Saccharomyces cerevisiae S288C: one gene and its partners. The gene in region 2 interacts genetically with the main gene of each other region. Each region holds a gene or a part of one and is shown on either strand. Other genes may lie near its edges.

Region 1 (6,644 bases), on a different chromosome or scaffold from region 2:
CTTATATTTATTTATTTTACTTCCGTGGATAACGGCCTGAGGTAAAGTCCACTGCAACGTCGCTTTTTTGTTTGGACTTTCTGCAGGAATCTCCCCGACGTTGTTACCATTTTCGTTTGAAGGTGATGATGCTCCACTACTCTCTGGGCTATCGGAGGACACAAACTCGCTTGAAGTTGGAGAGTTCTTATTTTTTTTCCTAATTTTCTGGACTTTGTGTATGCTTCGCCAATCCAGATACAAAAGTGCAGCAGTTCGTAATGGAACAATACCATCATCCATGACATTGGCATATATCGTTCTCCTCTTAAAAGACTCAAATACTTTTTTAGCCGGCGCCTGTGGAAGAATTTCTAATATGTACTTGGAATGTTCTGGGTACACTTCATCGTCTGCATACAACCCATCTTTGGACGTTAACGGTGTATATTTTAAATTCAAGTCCCTTCCTGTCAAACCAAGCGCGCCCATATCCAGTGGAACAGACAAATAAAAGGGGAAGTCGCCAATAACACCGATGAAAGGACTAGCTAACGTAATAAAATTAACGGGTTTAACACCTTTAACTGCATCAAAAAAATCTGGTCTTTTAATACTTATGTAACGCACCGCCATGGATTGAGTTGGCCCTCCTAGGGAATGGCCAATGAATGATATCCTGTCTACTTTGTACTTTTTATTCAACTTATCAACAGTCTCAAGCACATACTTTCCAACTCTAACGCCCAAGCAATGTATACCGTGACCTGATTTCCCGACGTTGCCCATAAAACCTCGAACAATTATATTCGGATTAATAGACTCATCCATAGGAAACGTCATTTCTTCAATTTTATCTTTCATATATAGCATATCACACCCGATATTAGAAAATATACCATGTGTCATAATAACGAGATGTACAGGCTTTTCTGGAAATTTTGGTGGTAAATCCCAAAGGGTTTCAGTATCCCACATCTCTAAAGAGACACCTTCAATACTCTTAAAGAGCCCATTCGATTTCTTGACCACCTTCCTTGTAGTCCCTATCCTAAACGAAAATTCCAGCTTCGGAATTGTGGTTACCGCCAACTGCGAAATTATATCTATTGTCCATGAATAAAGAGAAGTGTCGCCAACTCTAGAATTCTCATTCAATAATATTTTTACTTTAAATCTTTCGTCCGGCTTTAGATTTTCAACAAATGGAATAATTTCCTTCCCTGGAAACTTGCGATTCTCATTATAGTTATGCGGCCTAACATCGATGTAAAAAGAATATGGCCCCGTCAAATAAAGCGGTCGCAGAAGCGCGCTTTCCTCGTTCTTGATCCTCAAGAATAGATGCGATACATCTAGCCCTTGTTCCTTAATTACATCTTTGTTCACGGAAAACTTGTAGCGATATAACTCACCTATTCTTAATCTCTTCCGCTCATCAACCAATAAGGTACCTCCGGTTTCATTTATCTCGAGCGAATTTTTCATTCGGTTGATTTTGTAAGGCATTAAGGGATCGAACCAAAATGGAGCAATTCTTTTATAATAAGAAGATGAATAACAGCCGAGTAAGTGATTCTCCTCCGCATTTCCTGCTGTTCATTGTTTTATCATACTGAATAAACAATCCTTAGAAAATAGCATCGATATATTCGCGCTTAACAAAGCGAAGAATTGAAACATTTTTTCAGGTGGAGGGACCGGGTAGTGCCGGATCAAGTAGTGTAGTATTTATTGTAGTACACTCTTACAACAACCCTTTAAGACGAATGGTGTGAAATCGGAAATTACTTTGTTGAAGTAAGGTGTAACTATATTTTAAGAACGTTTAAGCTGGATATCAAGATCTGAGGAGGTAGTATGAGTTCTGACGCTTCCACGTACAGACTTGAGGATGTTTTATCCAGCTTCTATAGAGTGGAGAAAATCAAAAAGATCAACTATCATCAGTACATTTCTAAAGCCCAAAACGATCAATGGTCTATCCAAATGGAATTCATGCTACGGAAGCAGGATCCAAAGACTCTAGTTGCGCTGCTTTCAAGGGATTTATGGTGTTTCAGTATAAATGATGATCCGGTACCGACACCTCCTGCGATAGAACATAAACCAGTGAGCCCAGATAAAATCGGAACTTTCACTGCCGATTATTCAAAGCCAAACTTACCGCCACACTATGCTCTTTTTTTAAAAGCTTTAAGAAGGAAAATTTACATTAATTTGGCATTAGGTTCACACAATAAGCTAATACAATTTGGGAATGCCTGCATATCATTAAGCGGAGTGCCAAATTATCTCGTACAGCTAGAACCACACCTTTTTGTAAACGGAGATCTCACAGTGTCGTTATGTGCCAAGAACATGGGATTAGTACCAATGAAGGAGGAAAATTTGGAAGAATCTTTCCTTTCAAAGCATGCGCTTTATTTAGCACCATCTGGAATAAGGATGCATTTGGCCCCTGCTTCCAAGCAAGGATACTTGATAACGCCACCAAAACATACAGAACTTCTCTTGACGACGTTAAGTGTATCTCATGGTATAAACTTACAAAATAAAAAAAATTTGAAATGGGTTGCTGTTGTTCCTGACTTAGGACATCTCAACGGCCACACACCTACTATAGCTTCGTATTTAACTCCCTTACTTGAAGCAAAGAAGCTAGTATGGCCGCTGCATTTAATCTTCGCCCAACCAGTAGCTGATATAGAAAATTCTACTTCCGGAGATCCATCAGAATTTCACTGTTTGCAAGATGCTCTGGATGCCATTGATGATTTCATACAATTAAAGCAAACAGCTGCCTATAGGACTCCAGGAAGTTCCGGCGTATTGAGCAGTAATATTGCTGGTACAAATCCCTTAAGCTCAGATGGAGCATATACAGAACAGTTTCAACATTATAAGAACAACTCAATTAGTTCTCAACCCGCTTCTTATCATTCTGTCCAAGAAACTAATAAGATATCTCCGAAAGATTTCTCCCCTAATTTCACAGGCATTGATAAATTAATGCTGTCGCCCAGCGATCAATTTGCTCCAGCTTTCTTAAATACCCCTAATAATAACATCAATGAGAATGAATTATTTAATGATAGGAAACAAACTACAGTATCAAATGACTTAGAGAACAGCCCACTGAAAACGGAACTGGAGGCAAATGGTAGATCACTCGAAAAGGTAAATAATTCCGTGAGCAAGACAGGAAGCGTAGACACACTTCATAATAAAGAGGGAACACTGGAACAACGAGAACAGAACGAAAATCTGCCAAGTGATAAAAGTGACTCTATGGTAGACAAGGAATTGTTTGGTGAGGATGAGGATGAGGATTTATTTGGCGATAGCAATAAATCGAATTCTACAAACGAATCGAACAAAAGTATATCGGACGAAATTACCGAGGATATGTTCGAAATGTCTGATGAAGAAGAAAATAATAACAATAAAAGCATTAATAAAAATAACAAGGAAATGCATACTGATCTTGGTAAAGATATTCCATTTTTTCCCTCATCTGAAAAACCGAATATCCGTACGATGAGCGGAACTACAAAAAGATTAAATGGAAAGAGGAAATATTTGGATATTCCGATAGATGAAATGACCTTGCCAACGAGTCCATTATATATGGACCCAGGTGCGCCACTCCCTGTGGAAACACCCCGCGATAGACGCAAAAGTGTGTTCGCTCCACTGAATTTTAACCCCATAATAGAAAACAATGTTGATAACAAATACAAATCTGGAGGGAAATTTTCCTTCAGTCCGTTGCAAAAGGAGGAAGCATTAAACTTTGATATTTCTATGGCGGATCTTTCTAGCTCTGAAGAGGAAGAGGATGAAGAAGAGAACGGTAGCAGCGATGAGGATCTAAAGTCATTGAACGTACGCGACGACATGAAACCTTCTGATAACATCAGTACTAATACTAATATTCATGAGCCTCAATACATAAATTACTCTTCGATCCCAAGTCTACAAGACTCTATTATAAAGCAAGAAAATTTCAATTCAGTAAACGATGCTAATATCACTAGCAATAAGGAAGGCTTCAACTCTATTTGGAAAATTCCTCAAAATGATATACCACAGACCGAGTCACCACTGAAGACCGTTGATTCATCTATTCAACCCATAGAATCCAATATAAAGATGACCTTGGAAGATAATAATGTTACCAGTAATCCGTCCGAATTTACGCCGAATATGGTAAATTCTGAAATTTCTAACCTACCAAAAGACAAGAGTGGTATCCCCGAATTCACACCGGCGGACCCCAATTTATCTTTTGAATCATCAAGTAGTCTACCGTTTCTATTGAGACACATGCCGCTAGCATCTATACCGGACATTTTCATCACGCCTACTCCCGTTGTTACAATTTCAGAAAAAGAACAAGACATCTTAGATTTAATTGCAGAACAAGTCGTCACTGATTATAATATCTTAGGAAACCTCGGTATTCCAAAGATCGCCTATAGGGGAGTTAAAGATTGCCAAGAAGGTTTAATAACAACCACAATGTTACAGTTATTTTCCACTTTCGATAGATTAAATGGCAATGATACGATCTCCAAATTCTATAACATGAAGCAGCCGTACGTTTTTGTAAAGAAACATCACGAACTAATCAAAGTCAAACACGACTCTCAGCCATTTATTAAGTTCCTCAATTTTCGCCCTCCAAATGGAATAAAAAACTTCAAATCCTTATTATTAAGTTCATCTTTCAAAGAAGATTGTCTGTCATTTGCGCCAACTCTATCTCAAACATATATTAATCAAGAGTTAGGGTTTTGTGAGTTGCTTAAACTAACTAATGAAGACCCGCCCGGACTGATGTACTTGAAGGCATTTGATAAAAACAAGTTACTGTTGTTAGCTGCGCAGATTGTTTCATACTGTTCTAATAATAAGAACTCCATCAAAAACGTGCCACCAATATTAATAATTTTACCCTTGGATAATGCAACTCTGACTGAATTAGTAGACAAGGCGAATATTTTTCAGGTGATCAAGAACGAAGTTTGTGCCAAGATGCCTAACATTGAACTATATTTGAAAGTTATTCCTATGGATTTCATTAGAAACGTACTGGTGACAGTGGATCAGTACGTCAACGTAGCAATTTCTATATATAACATGCTGCCGCCAAAATCTGTAAAGTTCACCCACATTGCGCATACGCTGCCGGAGAAAGTGAATTTCAGAACCATGCAGCAACAGCAAATGCAACAGCAACAGCAACAGCAACAGCAGCAGCAGAATAACAGTACAGGATCATCTTCTATAATATATTATGACTCGTACATCCACCTGGCATACTCGCGTAGTGTAGATAAAGAGTGGGTTTTTGCAGCTCTTTCAGATAGCTATGGACAAGGCAGCATGACGAAAACGTGGTACGTCGGGAATTCCAGAGGAAAATTTGACGACGCATGTAATCAAATATGGAATATCGCCCTAAATTTAGCGTCTAAAAAATTCGGAAAAATATGTCTAATTTTAACTAGATTGAATGGCATACTGCCGGATGATGAATTGATGAATTGGAGGAGACTTTCTGGTAGGAATATACATCTTGCTGTGGTGTGTGTGGATGACAACTCTAAAATCTCCTTCATAGATGAGGACAAATTGTACCCTAGTTTCAAGCCGATCTACAAAGACACTAGGTTTGGAGGACGCATGGATATGACCAGATTATACGACTATGAAATAAGGGATATAGACCAGGACATCCATGGAATAGTATTTCAGCACCCGTTCCCACTGGCACACTCACAGCATCGCTGTGCTATTAGGAGTGGTGCTTTGATCAAATTCAAAAAATGCGACGGTGATACGGTTTGGGACAAATTCGCAGTCAACCTTTTAAACTGTCCACATTCTGATAGTACACAATTGCTGGAAACCATCTTAGAAGAGTTTCGCAACCTGGCTGCTCTAAACGTGTGGTACGGTCTCTCTGATGGCGAAGATGGCCATATTCCATGGCATATCCTAGCCGTGAAAAAAATGATGAACACTCTTGTGCACACCAGAGTAAAAATTGCTAATACTTCCGCCGCTACTGTGCATACCGCTACTTCTTCATCAATTATTCTCTCGGATAAATAAACTTTTTCCGGCAACGTTTTCCTGCTCATCTGTAGCCCTATTTACCAGTTTTGGTTTTAGTATTATTCCGGGGTGTAAACCCAGAAGTCTATTTCTCCAGTCGGATTTATAAAAACAAAACCGGAAGCGGGGCGGTACGGCATTTTCACTGGTGATGCACGCCCAGCGTGTAGTCCGAGACAATTTCCACAGAACGCGAATGAGATTGCGTTTAAGGCTGTATTTTCAAGGCACACGAAGCGGCCACGTGGGTCTGCGATGGTGTGTTGATGATGTCAAGAATGGTATCATACTCCGTATAAGGTTATGTAATCGGAAGTCGCGATTCTTTTTCAATTTTTTCTTTTTATTTTTTTCCAGTTTTTTCGTCTCTGCGATGGAAAATTGTTGAAGTTCTCTTGATTAGCAAGTAGTTCTTACATCGCAGGAATCTTATGTTGCATAGCTCAATTTACAAAAATAACAAGGATAAATATATATATATACGCATATACTTTTTGGGTGTTAAAGTAAATTTTGCACCCGTTCATACCAATCGTTCA
Region 2 (6,672 bases):
GTTGAGCAAATGAAATGTCTTTAAACTCCTCAAATATATCATCCCAATCATTTCTATCTTGTGAGAGAACAGTTAGTTCAGTTCTTTGATTTTGTTCATCCTTTTGGACTTTTTTTAGCTCGTCATCAAAATCTGGTAAAGAGATTTTCGATCTATCTAGATTAAAGGTTTGTGAAGTATCAATCATAGATTGCATTGCAATCATAAATGATTTAGATGAATCAGCAGAGTATTCAGTTGACATCTTGAGCCGGCTATTGATGGTACGGATCTACTTCTCACAATTCCAATGGTGTTAGAAGATATTATGAACATGTTTAATTTCAATATGTTCAATACATATTCCATTCTCGGTCATTACCCGAAACGTATGCCAGAACAGTGACTGTTAAAATAAAGTAGTGGAAAAAAGCATAATATATATACAAGGTGTGGTTTTAAATCTATTTCTTTTCAAGAAAAGTGCACATTCATGTATATGAACTAACTACATTTAAGAATTATATAAACATTATGGACTCCTGCTTATTCAGATAAAAATTTTATTATTTCATCGACAGTTCCTGTTTTATCCCATGCTGATTTACTTTTCCATATTATTTTTGCAACGGACGAATGAACATCTTCTAATTGAGAAACCGTAAAATTCTGACAGTGTTCGATTAAGCATGCAGATACTTTTTTTATTTGTTCGGGCGTCAAAATAAGCTCCTTGTCGCTCTTCTTCCCTTGCTCCGGTTCCACAACCTCTTTTGGTATCGGACTTCGTTCCCTTTTTTCTACCGTTTCGTGGAGGGAATTTGGTTTGTTAACCGATTGAATTTCCTTTACGTGATTTATATTATTAGTATTAGCGTCTATTTTGCTGAAGTTTTCTTCCGTAACCTGCGTTTGCAAAGAGTCTTCATTCTCTTTTGGTTCTTTTCTGGCCCTTTCATCATCATCGGTGGTTATCTCTGACGTGCAAGTGGCCTGTATCAGTTCCGTTGTGTATTCTTCATTTGCACCGCTATCCTCAGGGATGACCGCTTTTTCTTTATCTACTGCAGAGGGAATTGCCGCAGGAATCTCCTTTTTATACAGGTTGGTATCAATTGGTTGAGGGACCTCGCTGTTATTAACGATAGAGGCTGTATTGATAGTTGTTTGCAGCTGAGCTTGCAATTGATTACCAGCAGCTACACCAAACTCATTAGCCTTGTTATCCTTTAAATCAGGTTCTTGCAGTATATTTTCTTGACTCTGTTCTTTGGCTTCTAATTCCATTGCAGCTCTTTTCTCTTCATCTTCTAAGAAAAGTTCCTGCCTTTCCAAATCCCTTTGGCGAGTAGCTTTACACTCTTGAATAAAATCCGGGGTTGAAATTTCTTCGATACCCATTTGCGCGTTGGCAAACATCTCAGAGGCCTTAATGACACGTTCTCTGTCCCCAATGGTATTTGCATCCCTGTATATCAGTTCAATGTCTTTTAAAAACTGTTTTGGTTCTGAGTAATAGCCATTCCAAAGTCTCTCTTCGACAATATCCAAATCCATGTTAAAAAACTTTCGCCCTGTTGAAACCTCCAGAATCATGTTCTCATCTTTTATATATGCAGGTTGCCAATTGGGATCATTGCTTGTCTCTGGTTCGAAAAGATGAACCAAGAAGGCATCATCAATAGGTGGTTTTCTAAACCTTTTATATCTGTTTTTAAAAAGATCCATCAAGCCTGAGAGTTTGATTTTTAACACATTTTTCAATCTCATATCTTGGTGTTGAAAAGATTTCAACTTCCTTCTTAATACCACTTTTTCAGACAGTGGCTCACCATTTTCATCAAAATTTGTTGGAGCTGCGTTTGAAGTTACTTTTTGTAATTCAGGTAACGGTTTGACTCTTCTCTTTTTCATGGGAATATCACTTGGCTTTGTTTTCAGTAGTTCAATTAAATTAGAAAAATACCTCGTTATATTCTCTTTGGATGGTTTATGCAGTTGAAAGATATTTTTATCAAAAGCAAAATCAGATAAAATACCATTTTTAACTTCAGATATATCAAGATTTTCAGCTAAGCATAATAGAAGAATTTTTTCATTGCTTTGTAAAGATCTGAACAAACCTGATAAGACTAAAATAACGTTTTCTGGAATAGTGTTGATCCAAATGTCTAAATTAGGAATAAATACAACTGAGGGCTGTCTTTTCTTTGCTTCCATAAAACTTTGCACTACAGCAGCTTCAATAGTCCTAGAACTTTCCGAAACCAAAGAGGCAAGGTCCAGGTTTTGGACGTTGAATTCTTCTAAATAATTTAAAATTGCGGCTCCGACATATTGTTGACCATTTCCCTTGGGCCCATTTATTAATAACCGAGGTTTACAAATTTGTGATTCCGCCATCGATTCGAAAAACTCATATGATCTAAAACTGGATGTATCTTCATTTCCTCCATATTTGTCATGCTCTTCTTCCTCTCCACTGTATTCTTCATAATCGATGAAATTTTGTAGCAATGATGTGTTTCTCTGAAAAGTTGTGTCTTTAATGTTCAGCATATAATCCAGCTTGTTCTTTAAATTATTAAGTTGATCTGCCAGTAATGGTTTGATTAATTCAGGTAGTGGCTGAGGAGAACTACCAGTAGATCTCGCAGATGACGGAACAATTTTTTTCAAAGCTAACATGAAATCGCTAACTTTGACTTTAATCTTAGAAGGGTCCACCAAGAGTTTATCATTTGACCTATAAATTTGAGGAAAGCTTCTTTGTATACTTATTAGTGCAGCCTCAGTGCATAGGGACCTCAGATCAGCACCACCATATCCTTTGGTCAAAAAAGCCAATTTATCAATGAAGTTGGTTGACAACGGTGAACTCCATTTCCTGGTCTGAATTTGCAAAATTTTAAAACGTGCTTTAACATCAGGTAATGGAAAATAAAATTCTCTATCAAATCTTCCCGGCCTTCTTAATGCGGGATCCACTGCATCGGGTCGATTTGTGGCTCCGATGACAATGACTTGGCCTCTATTGTCCATACCATCCATCAGCGCTAATAATGTGGAAACAATACTAGCATGGATCTGTTCTTGTTTGGAACTTCTCACAGGCGCTAATCCGTCGATTTCATCAAAAAAAATGATGGAAGGTTGATGTTTTTTAGCTTCTTCGAATAACAAACGGAGTTGTCTTTCAGCTTCACCAACCCACTTGGATAAAATATCTGCACCTTTACGCATAAAAAATGTGATCTTCCTTTCATCAGAAGAACAACTTGCTGCTAACGCTCTTGCCATAAGTGTTTTACCCGTACCAGGAGGACCATGGAAAAGAACACCCCTTGGGGGCGTGATATTAAAATTTTGATACAATTCTGGGTATAATAGTGGTAAGGCCACCATTTCCTTTAATTGGTCAATGTAGTTGTCTAAACCACCTATATCGTCAAAATTTACATTCATGTCTACGCCTAATGGATCGAGGTCTGCAATTTCTGGTTTTTTCTTCTTCTTTTTTTGCGTGTTCTCTTTCTTTGTTTTCGGTGTCACGCCAAGAGGTAATATCTCATCATCGGAAGAGTCTGAATCCAGTATTAATTTATTGTTGTTATTATCACTGAATGCAGATGGGACTTGGTTGTAAAAATTAGTATTCTTACCAAATATTGTAGTTACGTCATTGCCACCAAAAGGTCCACCAGTGGGAAAAAGCCTTCTTGTGGGACCAGAATTTTGACTAGCATTCCAACCACCGCGACCACGCCGTGCAGGTGATGGGTTATGAAAAGAAAGTGCATTGTTATTCTTATCTATAAATTCTTCTGCGTTGCTAGCAGTTAGTGGTGGTGGTAATTTGTAATTTACCGGCTTAGTTCTTTCGCGAAGAAATCTTTTTTCCCTGATAGGACTATCTTCCTGTAACTCTCTAATTTCATCAGCTAAAGTTAACGCTTCATTCCTGCTATTATCATTCTCATCGTCATTTTCTTCATTTGAAGTACGCGAATGTCTTGTCCTACTTCTTAAAGCTCTTCTTACCGGTGGTGGAGTTTCTGGGTGACGTGACGATCTTGTTCTTCGAGAATTTGCCCTTTTCAAACGTTTAGAAGAAGCCGAATGGCTTATTCTGTCTCCTTCTTCGTCATCCTCATCGTATTCTTCATCGTCATCAGGGTCTGGTACTACAAATTTCCTATCGGCCGCTCTGCGCCGACGGTTGTTATCCTTCGAGTCTTCATCCAAATACTCATCTTCAAATTCGTCTGCTTCTTCCTCCTCTTCATCATCGTCGACATCTTCCTCATGAAAACTTTCGTCATCTTCTTCTGGATCATGCGCTTTTCTTTTTCTCAAGTTCCTTTCATTAGTAAGCTCTTCGTTCGTTCTGGCGTTTTCGTGCGGTGATACAAGATCAACATCATCGTCTTCATCATCGCCTTTCTGGTTGTTGTTATGATGTTCATCACTAGTAACATCAACGGGCGTCTCATCTTTGTCCATGACCTGGTCATCTTCCAAAAAATCAAACACTTTCTCAATTTCTGCGTAGTTTATTTTTCTCAAAGAGCGAGTTGTTGTATGGATTATGCCATTTTCGTCTTTAATCTGTGTTTCATACCCAACCTTTGCGTTGCTTGCATCTTCAACGTCGCTACCGCGTCTATTCCTTAAATTTCGTGCCATGTTCTTTCTGCACCAATTGTGAATAAATAGCGAGAAGAGAGAAATAGACCGTGGTAACTTCTTTTTATGACTGTCGAAAACAACAATGGGTTAGTAAGGAGTACGCAAGATCCTTCAGACGTTTTGCTTTATTTAAGACCCTACGCAGTTCCTTTTCTGCTCCTTTTCGTCCCAATATTGCTCTTTCGCTACCACTTTGTCCTTTTTCGCACACATGGCCGTACAAAATAACAGACGGTACGTTTTTAGTGATAATAAACAAGTTTATAGAGGCAGAAAAAAATTCCTCAGCGGCTAATGCCTCAACAAGTTCAGCTGCAAACGATGAAAAGACGCACACAAAAGCGAATAGAAATAACCGATCACCACAGTTCCTCTTTAAAACATCTCAAACTCAGCATTAACTTTCAAATCAATCCAGTGAAAGTATGCTTGGTTTGACACTTCACTGCCATTTCCTCCTGCCTGCCTATCTGATGCTTTGCCACCACAAGAGTGTTTTCCCTATGGCTTAATCGCTTTTTTCCATTTATTTTTCTCTTTCCCCCTTTTAATAGAGGGAAGAGAGCAGAACATACAAACATATCATTTTCTACGGTATAGCCTCCGCCTCCATCTTTAATAGTGACACTTCCATCAAGGGAATAAAGAGGCTTCAAGTCAAGAACTAAGCAGTCCCAAAAAATACCCATAAAACGAGTATAAACCATACTGTTATGTCTAAAGACACGCATGATGATGAACTGCCGAGCTACGAGGACGTAATCAAGGAAGAGGAGAGATTGCAATCTCAACCGCCACGACCACCAAGACCAGCAGCTAACTTGGCGCAAGGGCACCAATCAAGACCCCACCAAAGGCCCTCGACAATGCCAGCAACGTCCTCATCCCAAACATATGCTCACTCACACTCTTATACGCCTACAAGTTCCCAACCACGGCCTCCACCGAGGCCACAACAGAATCCTAGCTTGCCCTGGACATACCCTCCCAGGTTTTACTGTTCCAAGTGTGGAAATACGGGTTACAAGTTGAAGAATGGACGATCTTGCAAGTCGTGTTGGAGGAGGTTTGCACCTCAAAATAACGTTGTTTCTGCACCGACATATTACACAAACTATACAATGCCCGTGTACACCAACGCATGGCAGGGTAATAGGCCCTTGTACGTTCAACCAGGGGATCCTCGCCTGGGTGGCGTGCTATGTGGTGAATGCAGAGGGTCCGGACGCACCAGATTCCTGTTGGACGAAGATATATGTCCTCTTTGTCATGGTGTAGGCAGAATTATCACCCAGCCTCAACGCTATTAGCGCATGAAAATTTAGGATTTGGATGACCCGGTACGGCCTTAGTAGAAAAGCTGTGTCGCTCACCGAAAAGAAAAAAGACCGAACAACTGTAGGATGAAAAGCATATTTTAATGCTCCTAATTTTCAAACATGTCTATTACATACTTATCACATAATCCGACTGATTTGCCCTTCTTTAACTTCTTTCATTTATTTTTACGGTGCCAACCGTCTGATCGATATAGCATCCGTTCATAAAATATTATACGACTCCATCCTCAATCGTGATTGTGCGTGCGTGACTCATTTTTTGTTAGAACCAATACTTTCAATCATCCCAAAATGCATAACATCCAATTAGTGCAAGAGATAGAAAGACATGAAACCCCGTTAAACATTAGACCTACCTCTCCATACACTTTAAACCCTCCTGTCGAGAGAGATGGGTTTTCTTGGCCAAGTGTGGGTACAAGACAACGTGCAGAGGAAACTGAAGAGGAGGAAAAGGAACGAATTCAACGCATTTCAGGCGCTATCAAGACAATTTTGACCGAACTGGGTGAAGATGTCAACAGAGAAGGTCTACTAGATACTCCACAAAGATACGCTAAAGCCATGCTTTATTTCACTAAAGGTTACCAAACGAACATTATGGACGATGTCATTAAGAATGCTGTCTTTGAAGAAGATCATGATGAAATGGTTATTGTTCGTG
Region 3 (2,973 bases), on a different chromosome or scaffold from region 2:
TACGTGATAATCATCCATATTCTACGTGAGCAAAAAGTAATCGTAATAAACTGTACCTGTTTAAAAGAAGTTGAAAAAAAAAATGCGTAATAGCCCAAAATCCCTAGTATATTCAGTTGCTCTAATCGGAGCAAAGATGTTTGAATTTTACTAATCAATAGTTGGAAAATGAAAGACCGATAGGGTAGGGGGGCGAAGGGTGACAACTAATTATGTTAACTAGCCTAGGTTACCGTATGTCCTTATAATAACGAAGTAAATCTCAAAAAATTTCAAATCACAAAGTGGCTCTAACTAAACCTGCTTGATATCGTATCTCGCTAATACACTTCCTCAACGCCATAATTTCTTGTTAACGTTCCACCAATATCAACTTCTTGTCCCCTTTCTTTCCTTCCGCATTGGCGCCGCGTTGGGTTCCCCGGCTTGCAAATAACGACGATGAGTATAGCTTATTATGTATGTAGGTAATAAAGGCAAGTTACATACTACGATCCTGTGGGAGTGGTGGCAAGCACTACTAGACAGTTTCCATAGCGGGGTTACGTTTGCTCAAGGTTTTGAACTCTAGTTTCTACATCTTGGCTCTCCGTTTTCTGTTTCTTTTCGGAGGACTCTTCTACGTCCTGTAATGCATCGCCTTGTTCTTCTATTTCGTCATGCTCTTTAACCTTTTCCACGGGCACATTCTCCTTATCTTCACCCATATCTATATCGCCATCAGCATCTACTTCACCACTATCTAGTTTTTCCTTCTTCCTCTGTTCAACAGCAGCTTGGTATTCATCTAGTTTATCTCTAACCGGACCCTTCAATGCCGAGTGTCCTATATGGTCCAAAGCACTCAGAACATCATCTACACTGCAGCTTTTTTTATCTTGACTCTTTGCAATTTCCCTTGCAAACAGGAGCAAGTGGTTAACAAATACTGTAGCACCACGCTGTAACGCTAGTGATGCGTCTTTATTTATCAGCAGCTTTTTGCCGCTTTGCTGTGGCACTTCGCGTGCCAAATTCACAATAGTGCTTTTAGGAAATAACAGGTCCTGAATCGTAATGTTCTCTTGTTCTTTAATATACGAAGTAGTGGGGTAATTCCCTTGGGCGTCTTTTCTCCAACCTTTTGGTGGCATCGTGTGTAAAAATATATGGTCTGATATAAATAAGCAATGAAAGGCTTGACTTCTATTTCAAAGTATTAAATAATTAAAAAAATCCTTCCTTTCACCTAAAACCTCTAGGTAATATTCTGTGGCTTCTGCTATTGTGCCGCTATGAATAACAATTTTAAGCTCTGATGATCGAATCTGGTTTTTAACGTTATTCCAATTTGAGCCTTTCTTTATTCGTCCAAAGGGATAAAGCATTATTTTTTTTTCATCGCATTCAATGCTCATCGCAAAGTTACAGATCCTGAGCAGTCATAAGTTGATACCTTTCCTCTTACAATGTAGATATGGAAGGTTTCTTCAGGATACCCCTCAAGCGGGCAAATTTACACGGAATGTTGAAGGCTGCTATATCCAAAATTAAAGCGAATTTTACCGCGTATGGTGCACCAAGAATCAATATTGAGGATTTCAATATAGTCAAGGAAGGAAAAGCAGAAATTCTTTTCCCTAAAAAGGAAACTGTTTTCTATAATCCCATCCAACAATTTAATAGAGATCTAAGTGTTACATGCATCAAGGCGTGGGACAACCTATATGGTGAGGAATGTGGCCAAAAGAGAAATAATAAAAAAAGTAAGAAGAAAAGGTGCGCGGAAACTAACGATGATTCTTCCAAGCGTCAAAAAATGGGAAACGGGTCACCAAAAGAAGCCGTTGGTAATTCTAATCGAAACGAACCTTATATAAATATTTTGGAAGCATTGTCAGCCACTGGGTTAAGAGCCATTAGGTATGCTCATGAAATTCCCCATGTGAGGGAAGTTATTGCTAACGATTTACTTCCAGAGGCTGTCGAATCTATAAAACGAAACGTTGAATATAATAGTGTCGAAAACATTGTCAAGCCAAACCTTGATGATGCTAATGTCTTAATGTACCGTAACAAAGCGACGAATAATAAGTTTCACGTCATCGACTTGGATCCTTACGGTACCGTTACACCTTTTGTAGATGCGGCTATTCAGAGTATTGAGGAGGGTGGTCTAATGCTGGTAACTTGCACTGATTTATCCGTTTTGGCCGGTAACGGATACCCAGAAAAGTGTTTTGCCTTATATGGTGGTGCAAATATGGTTTCTCATGAATCAACTCACGAAAGTGCGCTGAGACTAGTATTGAACTTACTAAAGCAAACTGCCGCGAAATACAAGAAAACTGTGGAACCGCTTTTGTCGTTGAGCATTGACTTTTACGTCAGAGTTTTTGTCAAAGTCAAAACAAGCCCGATTGAAGTCAAAAACGTTATGTCAAGTACTATGACTACTTACCATTGTTCCCGTTGCGGCTCTTACCACAATCAACCTCTGGGCAGAATTTCTCAACGCGAAGGTAGGAACAACAAAACATTCACCAAATACTCGGTTGCGCAAGGGCCTCCGGTTGATACTAAATGTAAGTTCTGCGAGGGGACATACCATTTAGCTGGTCCAATGTATGCAGGACCTCTACACAACAAGGAGTTCATCGAGGAGGTGTTGAGAATTAATAAAGAAGAGCATCGTGACCAGGATGATACATATGGAACACGTAAAAGAATTGAAGGTATGCTATCTCTAGCTAAGAATGAATTATCCGATTCGCCATTCTATTTCAGTCCTAACCATATTGCATCGGTAATAAAATTACAAGTACCTCCCTTGAAAAAAGTAGTCGCAGGCCTAGGTTCCCTAGGCTTTGAATGTTCATTGACACATGCCCAACCATCGTCCCTAAAGACTAACGCTCCATGGGATGCAATCTGGTATGTGATGCAGAAATGTGATGATGAGAAGAAAGACTTAAGCAAAATGAATCCAAATAC

What was found. A genetic interaction does not mean that the proteins touch.
Region 1: mutations in YTA7 (region 2) and SSN2 together harm fitness more than expected from each alone (negative genetic interaction), as found in Saccharomyces cerevisiae (3 studies listed by BioGRID).
Region 3: mutations in YTA7 (region 2) and DPB4 together harm fitness more than expected from each alone (negative genetic interaction), as found in Saccharomyces cerevisiae (2 studies listed by BioGRID).

The regions. Positions count from the first base shown.
Region 1 is NC_001136.10:1,345,134-1,351,777, reverse strand, and holds SSN2 (Ssn2p), read left to right. Parts: upstream 1-1,839; coding exon 1,840-6,102; downstream 6,103-6,644. Other genes in the region: YDR444W (putative hydrolase), read right to left, coding at 1-1,488. UniProt on the Saccharomyces cerevisiae protein: Component of the SRB8-11 complex. The SRB8-11 complex is a regulatory module of the Mediator complex which is itself involved in regulation of basal and activated RNA polymerase II-dependent transcription.
Region 2 is NC_001139.9:1,025,363-1,032,034, reverse strand, and holds YTA7 (chromatin segregase YTA7), read right to left. Parts: upstream 4,666-6,672; coding exon 526-4,665; downstream 1-525. Other genes in the region: SLH1 (RNA helicase), read right to left, coding at 1-244; HUA1 (Hua1p), read left to right, coding at 5,382-5,978; FOL2 (GTP cyclohydrolase I), read left to right, coding at 6,300-6,672. UniProt on the Saccharomyces cerevisiae protein: Functions as an ATP-dependent nucleosome disassembly factor that helps evict canonical histone H3 from the 5'-end of genes upon their induction.
Region 3 is NC_001136.10:691,745-694,717, reverse strand, and holds DPB4 (DNA polymerase epsilon noncatalytic subunit), read right to left. Parts: upstream 1,134-2,973; coding exon 543-1,133; downstream 1-542. Other genes in the region: serine/threonine protein kinase KIN1, read right to left, coding at 1-18; TRM1 (tRNA (guanine26-N2)-dimethyltransferase), read left to right, coding at 1,457-2,973. UniProt on the Saccharomyces cerevisiae protein: As accessory component of the DNA polymerase epsilon (DNA polymerase II) participates in chromosomal DNA replication.